Arabidopsis thaliana: one gene and its partner. The protein of the gene in region 1 binds, or shares a complex with, the protein of each later gene. Each region holds a gene or a part of one and is shown on either strand. Other genes may lie near its edges.

Region 1 (3,642 bases):
TCTTATCCATCCATTTCACACGTTGCCAAGGAGAGTTTTCCTTGGACTTGTTTTGACCATCACTACTTAACAAACATAGTTCATCATCTTCACTCATTGATTTCTTTCCTCTGTCGACATTGTTGTGACGTGTATCCATAGTATTGTTAAAGCCTGAGTCTTGTCGAGAATTTGGATGGTGTTGTTTCTGATTCTGATTTATAGCATTTGGACGAAGATCTCTCATAGAAGAAACTTGAGAATCAAAGCGTCCTTGCGAGCAATTTCCTTCCATTTCTACAGTTTCCAAAAGAAAAATCTGAATCAGAGAAAATAAAAATTCAGTCTTTCTCCTCAAAATCAAACTTTTCTTAGATGGATTTCTCCAAATATGAAACCTAAATCATCCGATCAAAGTAAGCTTGTAAACAGAGCAATCGCAATCAAACACTACGAATTCGATAAACTATAAAACATCGCTAACAAAAGACGAAAAAAAAAACTTATCTTTAGAGAAAATTTCATGCTAAAACTAAACGGACCTTTTTAAAACGATTGAAGACGAGAGAGTCTAGGGTTTTAGAGATGAGAGTTCAAGTAGAGAGACGAAGAACTCTGATCACTGAGACAATGCGTGTGGCGGACAAAACATTTAGAGGAAGAAGAAGAAGAGAGTCTTGTTTCTAAATCTTTTTTAGTGACAAATCACAAAAGTTATTTATGTCCAATGTATCAGAAGATATTTGGACCCACCATTTCTTTTTTATTTATTTATTTACGATTGATTTTGGTAGTCACTATGGGTAGAGTATGAATTTGAATTTTGAAATAACTGAAATTTATATGTTTTTTTATATATTAAAAGATATGATTGTCAAGGGAAATCTAAGTATTAGTTTTTTTTTTTAAACTTTTTTTTTTTACTTCCTTATTGAATCATTAATACAACATTTCATGATTCATTACTAAATCCACAATAAGTTTTTATACTCTTACACGTGTGCTTATTTTGTAGAAGCGTTACAATTCACATTAAAAAGGTTAAAAAGTGTATATTTTTTTTTTTTTTAGTATCTTATCGAATTATTAACAATAGTGTCGTTCTTCTTCTATATTGTTTAAATTTATGTTATCTTAGTTTGGACATATAAATTTATATTAATTTAAATTTAGTAGATACAATGTGAGTTTTAAAAACACAATATTGTAGAATTTCATCACCAAATCATGTCCAAGTTATTATACTCTCGCACATATATTTATTTTATGGAACCAATAAGTGTTACAATTCAGATAAAAAAAAGTTATAAATTTATATATAAATATATTAAACTTAAATTTGTATATAGTGATTAAAAAGTGATTGGTATCACGTTTTAGAAGATACCATATTTGGTTAAAAACATTAGTCACAATAAATGATTCTATTTTACACGTATGCTTACTTTGTGAAACTGTCAAGCGTTACAACTCGAAAAAAGTTGTGAAACGCTTGTAAGTAGAAAACAAACGAATCGAAGTACAAAACGTCAAATTTAATATCTTAATTTACATTTTAAAATTAAAATCTAACATTAATATTTGTTTACTGAAATATCTATACATACAAGACCTCAACTCAATTTTCTCAAGGTAGAAGTAGAACCTAGCTAGTAGAACCCATTGATAATCTTTGAAATAATAAAATATGCCGATAGTTTTGAAAAAAAAAACATTTTTTCGCCAACGTTCGTTTATGGGCCTAATATTCTGTTGGGCTGTTGCCATATATTTGTAAAATCTTATTCGTAGAACAAAATTGTTAAGTTCGTGTCCGCGAGATCAGAGTTTGTGTCCGGTTATACGATTCGTCGGTACCAAAACCCTCCGAGAAGTGTTTCAGGTGGGAAGGTATCTCTGTCTACACGATGTCCGGCGAGGAAGAAGCCACCGTGAGGGAGCCACTAGATCTGATTAGGCTGAGTCTCGACGAGAGAATCTATGTCAAGCTCCGGTCAGACCGCGAACTTCGCGGCAAGCTTCACGTACGTTTTCTTGTGCCCTGCTTAGTACCTTGAACTTGTCACTACTTAAAATACTCGTTCCACACATAGTTCGTTTGAATTTTGTAACTTTATTTTGCCGATTTCACTGTTTTGGTGTCGAATTTGGTCCTTTTTTGGGGGAAAGTCTAGGGTTTTGATTTTCAAGTTTCAGTTTCTAAAAACGTTTTCTCGAGTTATGGCGATGAGCTTGCAATTGGGAATTTATGGTTTGTGTAAATTTAATTTTGACAAAGTTCTTAAATTTTGGAAGATTTCTACACTCTTGAGTTACTCACTTAGGTTTGATGTTGTTGTTGTTGTTAATTCTTTGGGCAGGCGTTTGATCAGCATTTGAATATGATTCTGGGTGATGTTGAAGAAACTATCACTACAGTAGAAATCGATGACGAGACATATGAAGAGATTGTTCGGGTACGTGCTTTTTCTTACTCAATAGTTAACTTTATAGGTATTTGAGGGGGATCTTGATGAGTTTCTATCTCAAGTTAAGGATATTGTTAGAGAACAAGTGTACAAGTGTCTTTTAGCTTTCACTATATACAGAAGTTTCAGCTCAATGTAGAACATTTACTTAGACAAGAGATTATATCCTACACGAATCTTATTGTTCTGGAAGATATAAGCTATTGGATCGAAATTAGGAAGGCATTTCCATGTAACTGACTGTTTCTAGTAGAGAAGTCTCTTTCTTTAAGCTTCTTAGGCACACACATATTAGTTGTTGGGACTCCTCTAGGCGGGCTACAATTCTGATCTGATTAGGATAAGTGGCTTTTGTCTCTCATGTATGTGATTAGTTTTGTTTACTATCTCTGATTGCAGACTACAAAGCGGACGATTGAGTTTCTATTCGTGAGAGGAGATGGAGTGATATTGGTGTCTCCACCGCTGAGGACAGCAGCCTGAGTTCAAACTCAAATCTTTTGTGTCCTCTTTTCGTAAGGGGAATTTGTGACTATTCTTGTATTTAGTCACTTCTTGTCTTAACTAAAACAAGCTTGAAGAAGCTACTTTGCTTAAATTTCCAATGCTTTTCAGATACTTTGATCGTGTGATATACTAATTACAACCCAATTATCTGAGTTCACAAATAAAGATAAGAGTCTGAAAAAGACAGACAAACAAACAAAAAAATGCACCAGGAACAAGAGAATTATGATCATTTACGTACAAATAAACGGAGAAGAAATTATTAAATAAACAAAGTTGGTCTCTTATTATCTTCGTCTGGGTCGGGCATTAATGGGAGAACCAGATGATTGTGAGCCTCTGTAGTTTCTGCTTGGAGAATCCATTGATCCTCTAAAGGAAGAGTAGGTAGCTTTGGGTAATGGAGGCGTTGACTCTAATGGGGCTGACTCTGCAAAGCATGCTGTGTTCACACGAGTTCTCTCCAACTCTTGTTGTAGCAATTCGTTTGAACACTGTTTCGTTAGAGCCTGTTCACGAAATAAAACAAAATGATCAAAATTGAGGTTTTGATATTTGATCAAATCTGTTGAAAAGAGAAAGGAAATGTATGTGTTACGAGGAGGTCATCTGCTGAAACAGATTGCTTGTCATCTGAAACTGTGTCTTCGCTGCCACGAGTTGGTCTACGATTATGCCCTGGGGTCTC
Region 2 (4,220 bases), on another chromosome or scaffold:
GCTTCTCGAATGCTTGCTTAAGATGGCTCCTACTAAAGAAGAAGAGGACAAGCTTAAGGAGCTTAAAGATGATGATGATGGATCTCCTTCCAAGATAGGACCTGCAGAGAAATTCCTCAAAGCATTGTTGAACATTCCTTTCGCCTTCAAGAGGATTGATGCAATGCTTTACATTGTCAAGTTCGAATCAGAAATCGAGTACCTTAACAGATCCTTCGACACTCTCGAGGTAAAACTCTACTTGTCCACCTCATAAGTGTATGTCTGCTGATCAAACAGATCATTCATATGCATTTGATCAAACTCTCAGGCTGCTACTGGTGAGTTAAAGAACACGCGGATGTTCTTGAAGCTTTTAGAAGCCGTGCTCAAGACTGGGAACCGGATGAATATAGGAACCAATAGAGGGGACGCACATGCTTTCAAGCTCGACACGCTCTTAAAACTGGTAGATATCAAAGGCGCGGATGGGAAAACCACCTTATTGCATTTTGTGGTTCAAGAGATCATAAAATTTGAAGGAGCTCGGGTTCCTTTTACTCCGAGTCAAAGCCATATAGGCGATAACATGGCCGAGCAATCCGCATTCCAAGATGACCTAGAGCTCAAGAAACTCGGGTTGCAAGTCGTTTCAGGTCTCAGCTCTCAGCTGATTAACGTCAAGAAAGCAGCGGCAATGGATTCAAATTCCCTCATCAACGAAACAGCGGAAATCGCCAGAGGAATAGCGAAAGTCAAGGAAGTAATCACGGAGCTAAAGCAAGAAACAGGTGTAGAGAGATTCTTGGAGTCAATGAACTCGTTCTTGAACAAAGGTGAGAAAGAGATCACAGAGTTACAATCTCATGGAGACAATGTCATGAAGATGGTTAAAGAAGTAACAGAGTATTTCCACGGGAACTCGGAAACTCATCCTTTTCGCATTTTCGCTGTGGTCAGAGACTTTCTGACGATTCTTGATCAAGTGTGTAAAGAAGTTGGACGCGTAAACGAGAGAACGGTGTATGGATCCATGCCACTACATTCGCCATCGAACCAGACCGCCACGCCTCTGTTTCCGGTGGTTATCAATAACAACTCACGGCTAAGTCCATCGGGTTCTCTAGACGACGACGATGGCTCGTTCTAAGTGAAAACTGTTGGCTCGGGTTTGGTTCGGTGTATGCTAATGTTTTGGTTTCATTTGCTACGTACTCAAGTAATATATGTGTTATACATATTTATATTTTTATTGATAGGCGAATTTAAATAGATTTTGGCAGATTGTTGCAAGTTGCTATCATCGGGCTCTGTACGTGTTCCAGTCCTCTGTTGAATTATTTATGTCACGTGTAGATGTATTTATTGATCTAAACCTAAAACGATAGAAGAACTAAAGTCTTGTGAAAAGTTAAATTATTGCAAGCTATACTATTTACAAAATGTAAAAAAAGAAACTGAAATTATTCTTTTGTTTGGTTCACATTAGGCATTTCCAAATTGCTGATGTCAAACATCTTTGCAAAGTTCTTCTCCCAACGAATTTTGAAAATTCACCATTTTCACGATTAAAATTTTAAAATTGACTAAAAAGTTTTAATCTCGCACATAATTAAACCACAATAAAAAAACTTGGACTTCGGATTGTTTTCCATGTGGGCTGATTCGAATTTGGGCTTGGGCCTTTTTAATTGTAATTTTATTTTTACTTATTTGTAAATGCGTCACATGTCTTCTTCGCTCTGTTCGGCTGCTTCATCGAGCGGAAGTCTCTAGCCAATTACCGTTTGTTCGTGGACTCGAGGTTCGTTGTTCTTAGATTTCCCAGACTCATCTGTTTCTGCAATCCATTTCAAAGTTTCTCTTTTTACTTAATCCAAGTCATTCGCGCATTTCCTAATTGGTCTGAGGTTTAGGGTTTTAGGGCACATAGTTTTGTTTGATTCGGGAGTAATCGTTGAGATGCTACGAGTTTGGTATTCAAGATGATTCCTTTTCTCAAGGTCTTTATGTAATTTGATTGATTTATGGATCTCGAATTGCTGACATGAATTTGTTGCTTAAAGTTGTTGGCTTTGTGGGATATTCTGAGGGGTCTTGTTTGATTTGGATCTAATTTGGTGGGCAGATATTGTGGTTTCTTAGCAAAGAAGATGAGTGGAGTTGGAGAGAAAGCTTCTGGAACAACTAAGACACCTGCTGATTTCTTGAAATCTATCCGTGGTAAACCAGTTGTTGTCAAGCTCAACTCTGGTGTTGATTATCGAGGTCTGTCTCTCTCTCTTTCTGCATTTTGTGTTCTCCTCTAAGATGTATCCAGTTCAAATTCTTTTTTTTTTTGCCTTGTGTGATGATATCTTATAGTTTGCTTCTGATTTTCGGTGGTTATTAAGCTATCGGAAGTCTATGTAAACTTCTTTATCACTTTGGGTTTAGATGTCTCAATGCCTTTCTTTCTCGCCATGTTACTGGAACCTTTGGATGTTGGTTTACAGAATGACTCTTTTCTTTGTCTAAGAACTGCTTGCTTGATTCTCATTTGATTTGAAAGTCCCATCTCTGAAGATTCATTTTTGTTGAGCTTGCTTGTTTTTTCCCTATCTTGTCTCTGTGTTTGAGAAGGAATAATACATTTCGGCTTGAGATATTTGCTTTGGATTTTGAGAAATATAATCTAGATGAGCAGGAAATTAACATACGGCTTTGAAACATATGCTTTTTGGAATTTGAGAGGAATATTAGATTCAGATGATAGCTTTGTGAATTGAGAGAGCTTCTCTCATGAGATAACAGACCCAAATGTGGTTGAATTTGAGATGCATTTACTCTTGCTTCTGATAGAATATGGACTCTCACCTTGCTATGGAGCCTTTATCACCTGAAATTAAGACCTTGGTCTCTTGAACTCTATAATATAACTTACAGGACTAGGAGAACTTCTAGCTTGAATATCTTTCTTTGGTTTATCTACAAAAGTCAGACTTATTCTTTCTTTGGCATATCATGTTGTATCAATCTACATATGACACTTTGTCTCTCTTCTTGTTTGCAGGCATTCTTACTTGTCTTGATGGATATATGAACATCGCAATGGAGCAAACCGAAGAGTATGTAAATGGCCAGCTGAAGAACACATATGGCGACGCTTTTGTCCGTGGCAACAATGGTAAAAACCAAATCACATTCATCATCACTCTTTAAATCGGTTTAGTATGTTTTTTTATATCCAATTCTGAAAAATATGCTCTATGTTGGCCACAGTTCTTTACATCAGCACAACAAAGGGGACATTGTCAGATGGAGCATAGCTCTCTTTCATCACCATGAATGTTCATCTTCTTCTCTACCTCTGGCATATGACAAATGTAGGATTTGTAGCAACCAGAGTTTATCACCACTGCATGAATTCGACATGTCTTTTTCTTCCGCAACTCAGTTTGTGTCTAAATCATCTCCAAAATTCTGAGATATAGCTAGATTTTTATTTGTTATGAAATTTTTTTTAATCACTGTTGGTCTTTGGAGCCTAATTATCGTGTTTTGATGACGCAATCACTGCGTCACAATCTGATGTCATCTTAACAATCATTAATGTATTTTTTTTTTCTTTTCTCGTAATATTCTTAATTATTCTTCGACAGCAAAGGTTTAAAAACTCCTTATTTCAATCATTAATGTATTTATGATTTGATCGAATAACAATAATATAGCTTATTTTGTTCTATTCTATCGTATTTGATTCTTCTTTCGTTTTTTTTTTGTTTGACTTAAGAAACCGATTGTTTATAGTAGTAAACATTTGTTTTTAATGTTGCTCGATTCCAGTGCACATGTCCAGGCTAGACACTTGTCGTTATAAAGGTTGCTTTGGTTCAATATTGATCCACTAGAGATGTTACAACTATTGTTGACATCTGAGATTGTGTGATAAGAAAATATGAAACTGGATTTAGTGAAAGTTACAATATATAATCATACATCATAGATAGGAAATAAGGAAATGTCAGATATACTTGAAGAATACATCAAATAGACAAGGTCCTTTTTCTTATTGTCGACTATTATAGAGCCGTACAGAACCTTTTCACGTCTTTAGTAATTAGTACATTCTCCATTTCGGCTCTCTCTTATTTTTTTTCCATCTCTTTTACTTCTCCAAATAATAACAATAAAAGCTTCGATTTTGTGTGTGTTTGTATTTACATCTTGACATCGATATTCTTTTCATCAATTTTTTACCA

What was found.
Region 2: LSM3B (region 1) and LSM6B share a complex: the UniProt entries of both Arabidopsis thaliana proteins name them as parts of the heptameric LSM1-LSM7 complex.

The regions. Positions count from the first base shown.
Region 1 is NC_003070.9:28,853,882-28,857,523, reverse strand, and holds LSM3B (Small nuclear ribonucleoprotein family protein), read left to right. Parts: upstream 1-1,773; 5' UTR 1,774-1,886; coding exon 1,887-2,003; intron 2,004-2,339; coding exon 2,340-2,435; intron 2,436-2,846; coding exon 2,847-2,930; 3' UTR 2,931-3,110; downstream 3,111-3,642. Other genes in the region: AT1G76870 (transcription factor), read right to left, coding at 1-274; SEC5A (exocyst complex component sec5), read right to left, coding at 3,242-3,463, 3,553-3,642. UniProt on the Arabidopsis thaliana protein: Component of LSM protein complexes, which are involved in RNA processing. Component of the cytoplasmic LSM1-LSM7 complex which is involved in mRNA degradation by promoting decapping and leading to accurate 5'-3' mRNA decay.
Region 2 is NC_003071.7:18,147,593-18,151,812, forward strand, and holds LSM6B (Small nuclear ribonucleoprotein family protein), read left to right. Parts: upstream 1-1,604; 5' UTR 1,605-1,783; exon of another isoform or gene 1,784-1,982; intron 1,983-2,107; 5' UTR 2,108-2,132; coding exon 2,133-2,247; intron 2,248-3,031; coding exon 3,032-3,145; intron 3,146-3,240; coding exon 3,241-3,287; 3' UTR 3,288-3,703; downstream 3,704-4,220. Other genes in the region: AT2G43800 (Actin-binding FH2 (formin homology 2) family protein), read left to right, coding at 1-229, 311-1,129. UniProt on the Arabidopsis thaliana protein: Component of LSM protein complexes, which are involved in RNA processing. Component of the cytoplasmic LSM1-LSM7 complex which is involved in mRNA degradation by promoting decapping and leading to accurate 5'-3' mRNA decay.